Danio rerio: one gene and its partner. The protein of the gene in region 2 purifies or fractionates together with the protein of the main gene of each other region. This does not show direct contact. Links are inferred from orthologs where the notes say so. Each region holds a gene or a part of one and is shown on either strand. Other genes may lie near its edges.

Region 1 (6,794 bases), on a different chromosome or scaffold from region 2:
TGAGACTCTCCGGAAATTCTGTCAGTAGTTGGAGATGAGCAAAATATTTGAACAGTCCTACGTGTATTAAAGCCTTTTTACATATAACAAGTGAAAGGTCTGTGTTTTTGACAATATTACAGGTTCATTAAAAGCTGGCTGGAATGATTAAATAAAATAAAACTTAAACTTAACATATTTTTAACATGAATATTTAACAATATAACTTATTTTAATATACTTATTGCAATAAACAGTACTTTATAGGCCTATTTTCTTTTAGTAAAAGAGTCATGGATTAATGCGCTCCAAACTTTTTCTTGATTGAAACATGTTGAATTCATCTTTTATCATTTGCAATGTTTTCAAATTGCATTGTTTGTAATTTTTCTGTGAAGTTGCTTCTGGCCATGACAGGCTCACCTAAAAGGTTATAAGAGACGTGTTTGAGGGATTATATGCAGCATCCTTAATTTTTTCTCTTGGATAAGGTGAGATCTCCACTTAAGTATTGTGGAAAGAGGGAAAATGTTCTTTATGTGTTATAAAGCTTGAAGCATCAGAATCGGTACTTACATAGTATTGTCCGATCACTGTGACAAGGAATTGGTACTCGCCTCGGTATCAGCTGCAAAAATCCTGATCGGAGCATCCCTACTTTATACACTTTTTTTTCCAATTAACAAATATTTTAATTAAATAAATGCAAACTATAGTTTTTATACATTTCTTTTGTTACAAGATAAACTGAACAACATTGGAAAAAAAGTCTGGCAGTATATTTCAGTATATCTTTTTTAATGTTCAAGAAACTCAAACAGGTTTGGAACAAGCTAAGGATGAGTAAATGATGACAGAATTTTCATTTTTTGGCGAACTATCCCTGTAACAGCTACTATGACACATTGTACATTTACTGGAGTGTATGTGTGCTTATTTATGTTTGTCTGACCAGTTGATCTTCATTTAGGTTGCGGACACCCCCAATAATTCGCTCAGAGGAGGAGCTGAAGGAGAAAATTACTTTGCTCGAGGTTTGTTATTCTAATTGTTGCTTTTTTATTGAGCAAATAGCTGGGGTTTGGCCAATTATATTTCACAGTTTTCTTTTAGATTTGTGTTTTTAGTCAATTTGTACAAGTACACACTCATAGCAAAAAAATGTCATTGTATTCTGTTTTGTAGACTCTAAGTGACATTCAGATAGCGGTTAAAATGGTTCAGTCTAATGTTAAGAGTGACGAGCATCCTTTAGACAGACAGTATCACTCTCTTAACTGCCAACTGCAACCACTGGATACTGACAGCAATGAATACAAGGTACAGTACACAAGACTTGTCTTATTTTGAAATATAATATTCAGTGGGATGTTACATTTTTTTATTTTTAAATATGTAATTTTGTCCTTAAGCACACGCTGTTTCTATCTAAAGGTTATAGAGAAATATCTCAAGTCCACCCATGCACCCACCCATACTGACTACACAATGACTCTTCTGGATGTCTTTGCTGTGGAACGAGAGGTCGAGAAGGACAACTTCAACTCTGAGCTGCAAAACAGGTACTAAACCACCTGCAATCAATTACACTTTATGACCTATCTAATGCTCCGTAAACAGGAACTCCCTTAGACTCTGGATTAATGCATGGCTTTTCTGTATTTAAATATTATTGCCATATATTTGAATGTAGTACAAGTTGTTTTTGTGTGTTTGGGGATGCAGGATGCTCCTGTGGCACGGCTCTCGTCTGTCAAACTGGGTGGGGATCCTGAGTCAGGGTCTGCGAGTGGCCCCTGCAGAGGCTCCTGTGACTGGATACATGGTGAGAGTCACACATATTGCATGAAAAAAAGTCTTTGTGTGTTAGACCAATATGATAGCAATCTTTAAGGGGAACAGTTAACAAAATCTCAAACTCACTCAGGTTTTCTTTTGTTTTCCATTCTGTCTAGTTTGGTAAGGGGATCTATTTCGCAGACATGTCATCCAAAAGTGCCAATTACTGCTTTGCCAGTCAGAAGAACAACCAGGGACTCTTGTTGCTGAGCGAGGTTGGTTTGTAGTATCTAAACAGCAGATCTGCTGTCAGGATTGCTTAATGTTTTTGTGGAAGCCCTGATACTTTGGAATTTACAGGTACACAACTGACCTAAATATATTATGCATTTGTCACATTTTATGATTCAATTCAGAAATAATTTAAAATAGACTACTGGTAGGCCTGAATAAAGCAAAAAAATAACATTACAGGTAGGGGTGTGACGAGATCTTGTGAGACTAGATTATGATGAGATTTCTCGTTGAAATGAAAAGTTGTCTCTTGAGTTGTGATGTTATCATATAGTGTGAGGGTGGATTTATCACTGAAGATTGGAGGCAGGATTGCATTTGAACCGCACATCAAGTGCTTTCCACACACCTGGCAACCCGGGCTGCCTCTGTTGCCCGTTACTCGTTTGCTTGGACGGGTGTGACGTAACCGCTTTTTTTGTTGGAGTCCAGAGGTTGTCGCATCCAAAAGCAAAGGCTGCATAAACTGCCATCACACAAATTAATCATGGACATTAACATGTGATAAAATAGTCATAATCATCATAAACACAAATCGAATTAAGAATTGTGGAGTATTGCTATTGAAGTGCAGCACAGACATGTAAGCACTGTAATCAAACTATAACCGTCATGTGGAACTTTTAGGCAAAAATTTTTGACAGGGTAAGCCATATACACTCGGTTGTTTGACACTATTTTCTGCCCCTACCAAGTCAATAAAGGACCACAGACACACACCTCTCTAAATCTCTGGGTGTGTGCGCACACACAGTGAACTCCTAGAGACACACACCTGTCATCATCATCAACAAACACACTTTTTTTGTTGTCTGGGAAAAAAAGGGGTTTGATTCTATGATTCATTCTATGATATGATTCTCATGTGAAATTGTACAGGGAAAAGCAAGTTAGTAGAGTTTATGGCAAAATATTTTGCAGGGTTGCATGTCCTTTACTGCATAGAATTCATTAAAATAGAAGTAATATAACATTCAATACAGGATGGTTTTAAAAAGCATTTTTTATTTGCATTTTGTGATTTTTTTTTTTCAGGTAAATATACATCTATTTTACATTCATGTATTAACAAGTATTTTGCTAATATTTAAAAATATACATAAACAAGATTTTACAATAATATATTAGCAAAGAATTCTGCATAGAATTAATTAAAATATAAGTAAAATAACATTCATTACAAGTTGATTAAAAAAAGTACCTAAATAGTTTTTTTCCTGTTGAATTTCATCATTGAAGATTTCTTTAAAAATAGTTTAAAAATCTCATCTTGTCTCTTTCTTCTGAACCCAATCTCATGTCTCGTGGAGTGTCTTGTCACACCCCTAATTACAAATGTTATAAAAATTTATTTTATATCCCTGAACTTAGCCCCCCACAATTCATTTACATATAATAGAGTAAATGGTAAATTTTAAGTATAAACAAACTGAAGTTATAGTGGATTTCACTATACAGTTATCATACACATACATTTTATTTAAAGCAAATCTGAAAGCACTGAAGCTTCTCTCTGATTTAATAGAAATGTAAATGTTTGCACACTTTGCACTTGTTTTGCTTGCATTACATTAATTGTATTGAATAAGTCCCTTTGGAATTAGTCACAGCGCATTTCAGGTGATTAAGAAATTTGACTTCAACATTACTTGAAAATATGGTAAATAGAAAAAAACAGTCTTTTGTGTCTTTTATAAGTCTGAATGCTGCCATTTAAAGCAGACCGTGACCTCTTAATACATGAATATCTGTCCTCTTCCTCTGAAATAACAGGATGTGGTGCCACAAGATACGACCACAAAAAATACCAAACAATTCAGCAAAACTTATTATTTCCCATCAAAGTTGTGCTGTTTCATACAGTGATTATAAATGCATCTTATTACTCCAGATCTTTATTTCTGTGTATGACAGAGGAATTTCTGATTGTATTACTCCCAGCTGATTAAAACATTCAGTGAGCACATTTAACCATCATCACACAACGTTGTTTGGGACGGCTGTTCTGTTTGCAAAATATACATCAGAAAAGATTTGTTTAATATCTTTAGGTTCACTTTTAAGTGAACCAAGAGCAAACAAACTAAAATAGCTAAAAGTGTGAATAACACCCCATCTCTAACTGCCATTTTAAAATAACGTGACTGCTGAAGTGTCATTTTGTCTACTTTTCTTACCACAGGTTGCCCTTGGAGATAGTAATGAACTTTTGGACGCAGATTACAATGCCGACCAACTGCCTTCTGGGAAGCATAGCACAAAAGGTCTGGGTCAAACTGCACCAGACCCCAAAAAATCAGTTTCATTGTGAGTCTCTTTTCGGTTTTTAACTTGAGATTTTACACAATTGCATCCTTAGTGCTGTACTGACGTTTTCTCCTGCTGTCTTTCAGGAATGGTGTGACTGTGCCCTTGGGACCCTCTGTGAAGACCGGTGTTGGCCAGAAAGGAGGATACTCTCTTCTTTATAATGAGTACATTGTTTATAACCCTGCTCAGATTCAGATGAAGTACCTCCTTAGAGTTCAGTTTAACTTCTCATCACTTTGGTGAGCTTCACATTTTGCACACAGACAGTCTGAACAGTTTGAGGTGAAGGAAAAAACATGTAGCTATGTAGTGTTTCCCTCCAGGAAAAATGTGCATATTGTAACATTAATGTCTGTTTTAACTTTCAAAGGAACCTGAATATGACTAATATGGGACATTTTCTAAGTGATGAATGAATTAATCAAAATAAAATGATATTTCTACCGATATACTGTGATTTTAAGTATTTAATATTATGAATAAGTAACAATAAATCAAAATTAATACAAAATAGCGTAAACATAAGAAGAGAAAGATGATTCTTAATTCATTATTTACTAGAACGCTTTATTAAGTGTTATTTATGAAATGCACATGCCGATTAAATCCACCTTTGGTGTGTTTTAACAGGTTTTATACAGAAGTATTGGACCACCCTTTGTCTGTGTAAATGGTTATTATATAATTGTTACAAACCCCTGATGTTAGTTTAGGTCAGGGGTGGCCAACCCTGTTCCTGGAGAGCCACCTTCCTGCAGATTTCAGTTGCTACCCATATCAAACACACCTGAAACTATTAATTAGGACCTGAACACCATGCAACAATTACAGGCAGGTGTGTTTGATATGGGTTGAAACTGAAATCTGCAGGAAGGTGGCTCTCCAGGAACAGAGTTGGCCACCCCTGGTTTAGGTGAATGGGGTTTGACATTTAAAGTACAATTAAAAAGACATTTATATACACAGTGAATGAAGTGCAAAAGTCAACCAAAACCCGATATACCAAAAACTGACTTTTATTTACAATTCACAGAGGGAACAAAAACAATGAATCAATCAAAAAAAAAAAAAAAAGCTAATAAAAAATATATACTTTTTCAAATATGTACAACAATGGGAAAAACACAAAGACGGAGAAAAACAAGAGAGCTGGCAGAAAAGGACATGGGCGGTAATAAAGAAAAGAACAAAACTCACACAATGTCTAACTCTCCATAAACATCGAACTAACTAAATAAAATGAAAACAAAATAAATTAACACACAAAGAAGCCTACTGAGTATCCTAACTATCTTACTTAATCTATCCAAAAGTACAAGGGGTGGCGCCCCTAACCTAATGTATTTAAAACAAGAGTAGTCCTACATGTTGCAAAATGTGTGTCACATGATCTTCTTACCGGTCTGCTTCGCCTGAGCCTTGTAAATGAATTAAATTAAGAAGTGAAATGGTATGATATGAATGGCGGACGGATGACATGAACACTGATATGGGCAACAACAGAATACACAGACAGGGTTTTCTTTAAATGCAACGCAATAACACAGCAGATGTACAACAGAAACAAGAAGGAAAAGAAGGGGTCTGGCTTTCTTTTTTATGCTGGGTGGTCTTGGTTTATATATATTACCATTTCTTTTTCCTCATTTTTAATAATTGGAAAAGGCTCAAAAAGAGCTCCACAGATTATCATTTTCATCATTTTTAAATGCAATCATAAAGAGTGGACCAGGATTTCCACAGATCATGGAATTTCTGCAATATTGAATTTCAAAAGTGTTTTTCCAAACATTGAGAGTCAGGGATTTTTACATACAGTTGAAGTCGGAATTATTAGCCCCCCTGTTTTTCCCCCCAATTTCTGTTTAACGCAGAGATTTTCAACACATTTGTATACATAATATTTTATATGTTCATAAATGTTCATAATATTCATAATATCTCATTTATAATTGATTTATTTTATCTTTGCCATGATGACAGCACATAAAGACACTTAAACTGACATTCAAAGGCTTAACTAGGTTAATTAGCGTAACTAGGCAGATTAGGGTAATTAGGCAAGTTATTGTATAATGATGGTTTGTTCTATTTGTATACTATTGGAAAAAATATAGCTTAAAAGGGCTAATAATTTTGACTTTAATGTTTTTAAAAAATGTAAAACTGATTTTATTCTAGCTGAAATAAAACAAATAAGACTTTCTCCAGAAAAAATGTTATCAAACTTACTGTGAAAATTTCCTTGCTCTGTTAAACATCGTTTGGGAAATATTTAAGAAAAGAAAAAAAAATTCAAAGCGGAACTAATAAATCTGACTTCAAGTTCATATATTAACTGGTCCAAGGCATGGAATATCAAGGACTTTGTCGCTTTTTAGTTTCTATGTATCAAGATGTTAGTTTTCTATACCATATGATGTTCTTTTATT
Region 2 (7,396 bases):
TATGACAATGAGTTCACTGTACTTAAATGGCCTCCACAATTACCAGATCTCAATCCAATAGAGCACCTTTGGGATGTGGTGGAATGGGAGATTCACATCATGGATGTGCAGCCGACAAATCTGCAGCAACTGCGTGATGCTATCATGTCATTATGGAATGGCCTCCACAATTACCAGATCTCAATCCAATAGAGCACCTTTGGGATGTGGTGGAATGGGAGATTCACATCATGGATGTGCAGCCGACAAATCTGCAGCAACTGCGTGATGCTATCATGTCATTATGGACCAAAATCTCTGAGGAATTTTTCCAGCACCTTGTTGAATCTATGTCACAAAGGATTAAGGCAAATCTGAAGGCAAAAAGGGTAGTATGGTGTACCTAATAAAGTGGCCGGTAATTATATACTGTAACAATAGTAATGATGCTGCACAGCCCTAGTTCATAACTCCCAATAAATAAATAAAAAATGTTTCTTTAAGGAAAGTTTGGTGAGCAGAGGTAAAATAGAGACTTATGGGGATGAAGCATCCTCAGAGGAGGTCTCGTATGAAAGATCTCCTGTGGCCACTGTCATTCACACTGAGAGGGTTTGTATGCGTCGTACTAAACAGCTGTGGAAAATGAGCACTCATTGATTTCATGCATATGGCACCCACGCACACACACACACACTTAAGACTTCCACTACAACACAGCCATCCTAGCGTAACAAAGCCACAGGGAATATAAGAATTCTTTTTTCCGTTCTAATTTAAGCACATCTCTCATTTAATGCTGTGTATTACACACGATTGCACGCATCAACTGATTATCTCTGCATCACAACACTAGGAAACAGAGAAGAGTTATTTGATCTACTATGAAATGGCATTCCCTTGAGCACAGATGTGACAAAGAACATCCAGCAACATGAGAGTTTACAGTGTAATACACCAAAAACAAGGCTGCAGATGGACTGCAAGCGTGTCTGGTGCACATGCCCAATTCCTGCAGGCTTGTATGTGTGAATATCATATTTTAGGAAAGGCACTGGAACTGTTTATTACTGTACTGCCTCCTATAATTGAGATTAATGCAGTTCGGCGAGCACAACATGGAAAGACGCCAACATTATAATCTGATCCTCTGCACCAGGTGTTGAGTTTTCAGGAGCTGTTTAATAGGAAAGCGTCTGGTTTGGAGTACAACTACAATGTGACGTGGCCTTAACCTACTTGCAACAAATAAAAATAGATTTCTTTTCTAGTTGAATTAGTTGGTTATGTAGACAGATTTACTGCAAATCCCCAAAGGACAAGCATCTGTTTCCTACTTTTTTTTTTCTTCTTCTGCCTGGCACAATTGTGCCATCTAGTGACACTGTTGAAGATAAAATACTAAATGGACGGATGTGGTCAGTCTCAGAAAGGCAGTCTGACACCATGTGAGAGTGAGACTTTGCCATGTCAAAGAAAATTCACAACTAGATCTATTATATATATATATATATATATATATATATATATATATATATATATATATATATATATATATATATATATATATATATATAGAGAGAGAGAGAGAGAGAGAGAGAGAGAGAGAGAGAGAGAGAGAGAGAGAGAGAGAGAGAGAGAGGGAGAGAGAGAGAGATTTTTGAAGGTTCAAGCGTCTAAGTTTTGTTAATTTGTATAATCCTGTTGAATGGAGGACAAAACCTGCTACAACAATAAAATAAATAAATAAATAAATAAATAAAAATGCAAATAGATAAATAAATGTGCAAATAAATTCACAAATTCATGCATAAATAAAACCATGAATAAATATGCAAATAAATACATATAAAAATACATACATTCCTGCATGAATAAATATTTTAAAAATTAATAGAGCGGGCAAGTAAATGCCATCATTGGTCGATCTTTTTGCAGGTATCGGCCTCCATAATCTTTTTTTTTTAAACAAATCAGATTTATTAATTATATTCATTAAAATAATAGTTGGTTCCTAAACATCTTTAACAAATAACTTGATGCATTTTTTTTTATTTCTCTATGTTTTTCTTTTTTTTTTTTTTACATTTTTACGTAATATTTTTCCCTTACATATACATTTGTAGACCATTATCATTAGTTTTTTCATTAGATTAGCTCCATGTTTAACAAAGAACTGTCTAATTTAATGTATATGAACAAATATAATATTATTTTAACTGTTGTATGTATGTGTGTGGGTGTGTGATAGATAGATAGATAGATAGATAGATAGATAGATAGATAGATAGATAGATAGATAGATAGATAGATAGATAGATAGATAGATAGATAGATAGATAGATAGATAGAATATTTACATGATATTCTAAATTCTACTTAAAAAAATACCATGGTATACATTATATATGTCGAAAAAAGCATACCTTAACATCAGTTGTCTATTAAGCCTCAATTGGTCCATCAGTTATTTCATTTAAAACATGTAAGAAGACTCATAAAACCTTCAAAGTGTATGCTACTATCTGATAAGGCAACAATAATATATAAATGTATATAAACACAACGACTCTTCAGACTCTTATTTGAGTTCATTTGAACTATTCTGGTAGGCCATGCTATTTGTTTGAAAAACCTACAACATATATTTAGAAAATACTTCGAAAATATTGTACTTATATCAAATACTTAAATGATTTGCACCTTTTATGCTGGGTTTCAAGAGGATTTGGATGCATGGCGTTCGGGTATTGTTTCTCACGGTCAGTCAGCATACTTGAAAACACGAGCAATCGTGTATCTCTTGATATAAGGGACTCCCACTTCGGAGGGTTCTGCGCAGGTTTTGCGCAGAGCGGATGCGCACGAACACACTTCAGCCGTCTTATTATCTCAGAGGAGCCGTGAAAACATTATTGTGTTCATCTGTGTCGAGCGAATTCTGGCGTTACCGATCATTTCACATCAATAAACGAACAATGATCGATCATCCGGTGACTAGCAGATGAGCCAGATCTAACCGTCGCTTAAAAAAGGCGAAAATTCGGCTACATTGTCAGGTGAGTAAACTGAAAGACATTGGGAGAAGACGCAGCAAAATCGCCAAAAATATAAATATATATTCAAGTAAGCCGAATGATGATGAAGATATGCCATTTTACATGTTTGTGTTGTATATTTCGACAACATTGAAGTGTCGAGGGTTTGTTTTTTAATGTGAAAAAGGCTGTTCTTGCTGTGTTTTGGTCAGGGTGTTGTCCTGTCTACAGGCCTCAATCTGATCTATCAAATATCAGATCTCAACATCAGCACATTCAAAACCTCAGAAATATCACGTTTGAAAGTGTTTGTAGAGATATCATTGGTTAATGTACTAGTTAAATGTGTACATAGGTCGATTTTTGTGTTTTCTGTTGAGTTGTTGAGGGATTTGGGCCTGTAATGCAATTTAAAAGAACGCTCATCCCATTTCTGCTAACCTACATAAAACCAATATTGTGTTTTATTGATGCAATATAACATAACGGATCTATCGTTACTGTTAACAGTGTCGTTTTCAATATGTCTATTTTGTTGTCAATATAACCATTTGCTGTATGAGTATTATTACATATTTTAAATTATATTGTTCTCAACCAATCAGCCTAAGTTAGCCTTTGTTACTTTTGTTTACACGTTTTATGTCTAACGTTAGTAGTGTAGTGTTTGTATTTGACATAATTATTTTTATAATACAAAATAAGTTAATGGATGGTATTACTATTATATATATATATATATATATATATATATATATATATATATATATATATATATATATATATATTTATATATATATATATATATATATACACTTATATCGTTTGAGCATCGATATTATTTTTTTTATACAATAAAATTATAATCGGTTTAATAATTTGTTATCTATATGATACAATTTTTTTTTACACTTGATTTTTTTTTTTTATTTCTGTACTTGCATACTGCTAGACTCCCCGGAAAGCCATAAAGAACTGTTTATTTATTTTTACTCATAACTTATTATAATTTTTGCAGATGTACTGCATAAAAAAAATACTTCACAGTTGATCTAGATGAAAAGGGCTTTTAAAATCATTAACTTTTATTAATATTACAATTTATATTATGGCACAACATAACATTACAATGTCAGATTTTTTCAATATTGTGCAGCCCATATATATATATATATATATATATATATATATATATATATATATATATATATATATATATATATATATATATATATATATACATACATACATACATACATACATACATACACACACACACACACACACACACACACACACACACACACACACACACACACACACACACACACATATATATATATATATATATATATATATATATATATATGTGTGTGTGTATATATGTATGTGTGTGTGTGTATATATATATATATATATATATATATATATATATATATATATATATATATATATATATATATATATATATATACACATTTAAGTGTTAAATACAAAACTATTGTAAGGCTATTATTGTTCTACCACTTTAAATCAAGCTCATTGTAGACTGAATCTACTGACTTTAATTTTTACTTTCGCAATGTGTTTATTTACAATAGTCACATCGCAGGATTAGATTATTTATTAAAGGTTAAAATTAATACATTTTATTCTTTTTTTGTTTTTTATTATTTATACAATAACTTTTTTTTTTATACCCTTGATTGTTTTTGTACTTGAATACTGTTAGACTGTTCGGAAAACCACAGAGCACTGTTTATTTATTTTTGCTTGTAATTTATTATAATTTTTGGAGATGCACTGCATAGAAAAAGACTCCCCAGATGATCTAGATGAAAAATAAAGCTATTTAAATTATCTGGTGAAGTTTTAATTTATATCGTATATGTTTATTATGGCAAAACAAAATATTGCAATGTCAGATTTTTACAATATCTTGCAGCCCTTATATATTTATATAGAAATATAATTGACATTTTTAGATTTTATTATTAATATTTACAACATGTTTATGTTGTATGATGGAAAAAACATTTACATATAAATGTTAAATATGAAACGATTGTATAACTATTATTGTTCTGTCACTTTAAACTTAGCTCATTGTAGACGGTTTATTTATTTTTCCTATTCACAATGTCTATCTGCAGTAGTCCCATCGCAGGATTCTTTTATTCATTGAAGATTAAAATTGATTCATTTTATTATATTTTAAAAATTATTTGTACAATGATAACCTTTTTTATTATTATTTTAAATTTTTTACACATGATTGTTCACTTCCCAGTCAATCTAGATTTAAATAGAGCTATTATTATTATTATTATTCTGCCATTATACTGACAAATTATACTGACTTTATATATTTTTTGCTATTTTTGCACAGGATTTTGTTAAGAAATTATTTTGCGATTTGAAAAACCACACATACAGTAAATAAAAGGTTAATAATCAAATTAAAGCTTCAGCAGGTCTCTCATATAATACATTCAATAATGGACAAAGTATTACTTTACAAATTGTATTGTACATACATTATCTAAAAAATAGCATTTTATTAAATAATAATATTACTGTAATTAGTGTAAAAACTGAACATATATATATATATATATATATATATATATATAAATTTTTATTTATTTATTTATTTTTTTACACGCATTAACTTGTAAAAAAGTTAATAGAATGAATGATGGGCTCAAAAATCTGTGGATTTCTGCGGCTGTGTATTTTGTGTGGGCTAGTTATCAGTATTGATTATACAACATAACTGATTTTATTTTATTTTTTTAACAAACACAAAACATTTTAGTATTTCTTTTATCGGTTTGTTTCAATGGTTCTTTCCCCCCTCTTGTTCATAAACCCGACCTAAAATGAATGTCTGATATTGTAGCATATTCAGTTCTAGCATCATAAAATGTCCCGTAAATGGTTTGCCTGTAAAGGATTTGGGTCATGATATATTTAGATCATTTCTGCGTCTGATTTGGGCCAGATGCTATTAAGAGCACGTTACATGATTTGTGCGATCAAGCCAGACGGATGTATTAGAGACAACTTTACAGATCTGTGACAGACTGTCAAGATTGCGAAGTAGTTGGTTTCTCTCATCCATTGTGTTTCTGGTTTCACTTTTAAAGAGATAGTTCACCCAAAACTGAACATTTACTCATCCTCAAACCTTGATGAGTTTCTTCTGTTGGACACTAATATGAGATTTTGAGTAAAGCTGAAAACCTGTAACCATTGACTTCTATTGTAGGAAATACCATGCAAGTCAATGGTTACAGGTTTGCAACATTTTTCAGAGTATCTTCTTTTGTGTTCAACAGGAGAAAGCAAGTCAAACAGATTTGGATTAAGGGAAGGGTGAGTAAATGATCAGTTTTTGTGCCTTTTAATCTGCTTTCAAATATTAACAGATGTTTTTTTTTTGGTGTGTAGCGCAGGCTTTATTTACATGTATTGCATAAATAGTACCCTTGCTTGTTAAAGTGGAGTACTTATAAGATGAGTAGTTAAAAATGCAAGAGCTTTAATCGCCACAATGAACAAAGAACTCAAGCTGCTGCTGTTTGCTCGTGACTTTAGCCGACTTAGGCAATGTAGTTTGTAAACAGTGTCCCGTTTGTTACATTGCTGACAGCAGTGTGTAGGCAGATTCTGATTCTCTGCATTATTACAAAAATCTCATATCCGATATGAGTCTACTGTATAGACTTGTATACTGATTAGTGTTGTAATGATATGAGCTTTTTCATAGTTGATAATTGTCTATATTCATTCTTTTATATCACATTTTACCTGTTTTTATGTTGTTGTTTTTTACTCATTTTTATTATTCGTTTTTATTTTTATTTGACTTGTTTCTTTTATTTTTGTTTATGTAAAGCACTTTGAATTGCCAATGTGTATGAAATGTGCTATATAAATAAACTTGCCTTGCTTATATATTTACACAGTTTAAGTAACAATTATTAAAAAGTAAAAAGGTAAAAAGTGGCTTTTTTAAAGGAATTAAAGGTTTTAATGAGCCCTATAAATGTATTGTGAAAAATGTAGTAAAATAATTAATTTTCTTTATGATTTCTGTGTTTGTTTATTTATTTATTTATGTATTTATTAAGATATGTTTTAATGTATATTTTTAAATGGTTAAATGTTTTTAATTGTATGATAATCATATACATTCAAACCATTTACGGTGACACTTAAATATATATTAAGGCTGCACAATATATCGTTTCAGCAGCAATTTTTGCAATGTGATCATTGGCAATGCAATGTTGAGTCTGGATTATTATTAAATATTTTGCAAGCATTTTTTTTTCCAGGCTTGTGACTATGTGAGGGTTTTAAAAGCATTCAGG

What was found. Proteins that work in one complex are often made in the same cells at the same time.
Region 1: the proteins of rnf146 (region 2) and parp2 purify together in Homo sapiens (affinity purification with mass spectrometry; 4 studies listed by BioGRID and IntAct, counting the BioPlex papers as one, with this or other methods). This does not show direct contact. The link is inferred for Danio rerio from reciprocal best matches to the Homo sapiens genes RNF146 and PARP2.

The regions. Positions count from the first base shown.
Region 1 is NC_133177.1:40,865,598-40,872,391, forward strand, and holds the end of parp2 (poly [ADP-ribose] polymerase 2), read left to right. Parts: intron 1-949; coding exon 950-1,013; intron 1,014-1,164; coding exon 1,165-1,299; intron 1,300-1,413; coding exon 1,414-1,541; intron 1,542-1,704; coding exon 1,705-1,804; intron 1,805-1,934; coding exon 1,935-2,033; intron 2,034-4,234; coding exon 4,235-4,359; intron 4,360-4,445; coding exon 4,446-4,605; 3' UTR 4,606-4,809; downstream 4,810-6,794. UniProt on the Homo sapiens protein: Poly-ADP-ribosyltransferase that mediates poly-ADP-ribosylation of proteins and plays a key role in DNA repair.
Region 2 is NC_133198.1:43,852,480-43,859,875, reverse strand, and holds the start of rnf146 (E3 ubiquitin-protein ligase rnf146), read left to right. Parts: upstream 1-2,818; 5' UTR 2,819-3,038; intron 3,039-6,358; exon of another isoform or gene 6,359-6,395; intron 6,396-7,396. UniProt on the Homo sapiens protein: E3 ubiquitin-protein ligase that specifically binds poly-ADP-ribosylated (PARsylated) proteins and mediates their ubiquitination and subsequent degradation. May regulate many important biological processes, such as cell survival and DNA damage response.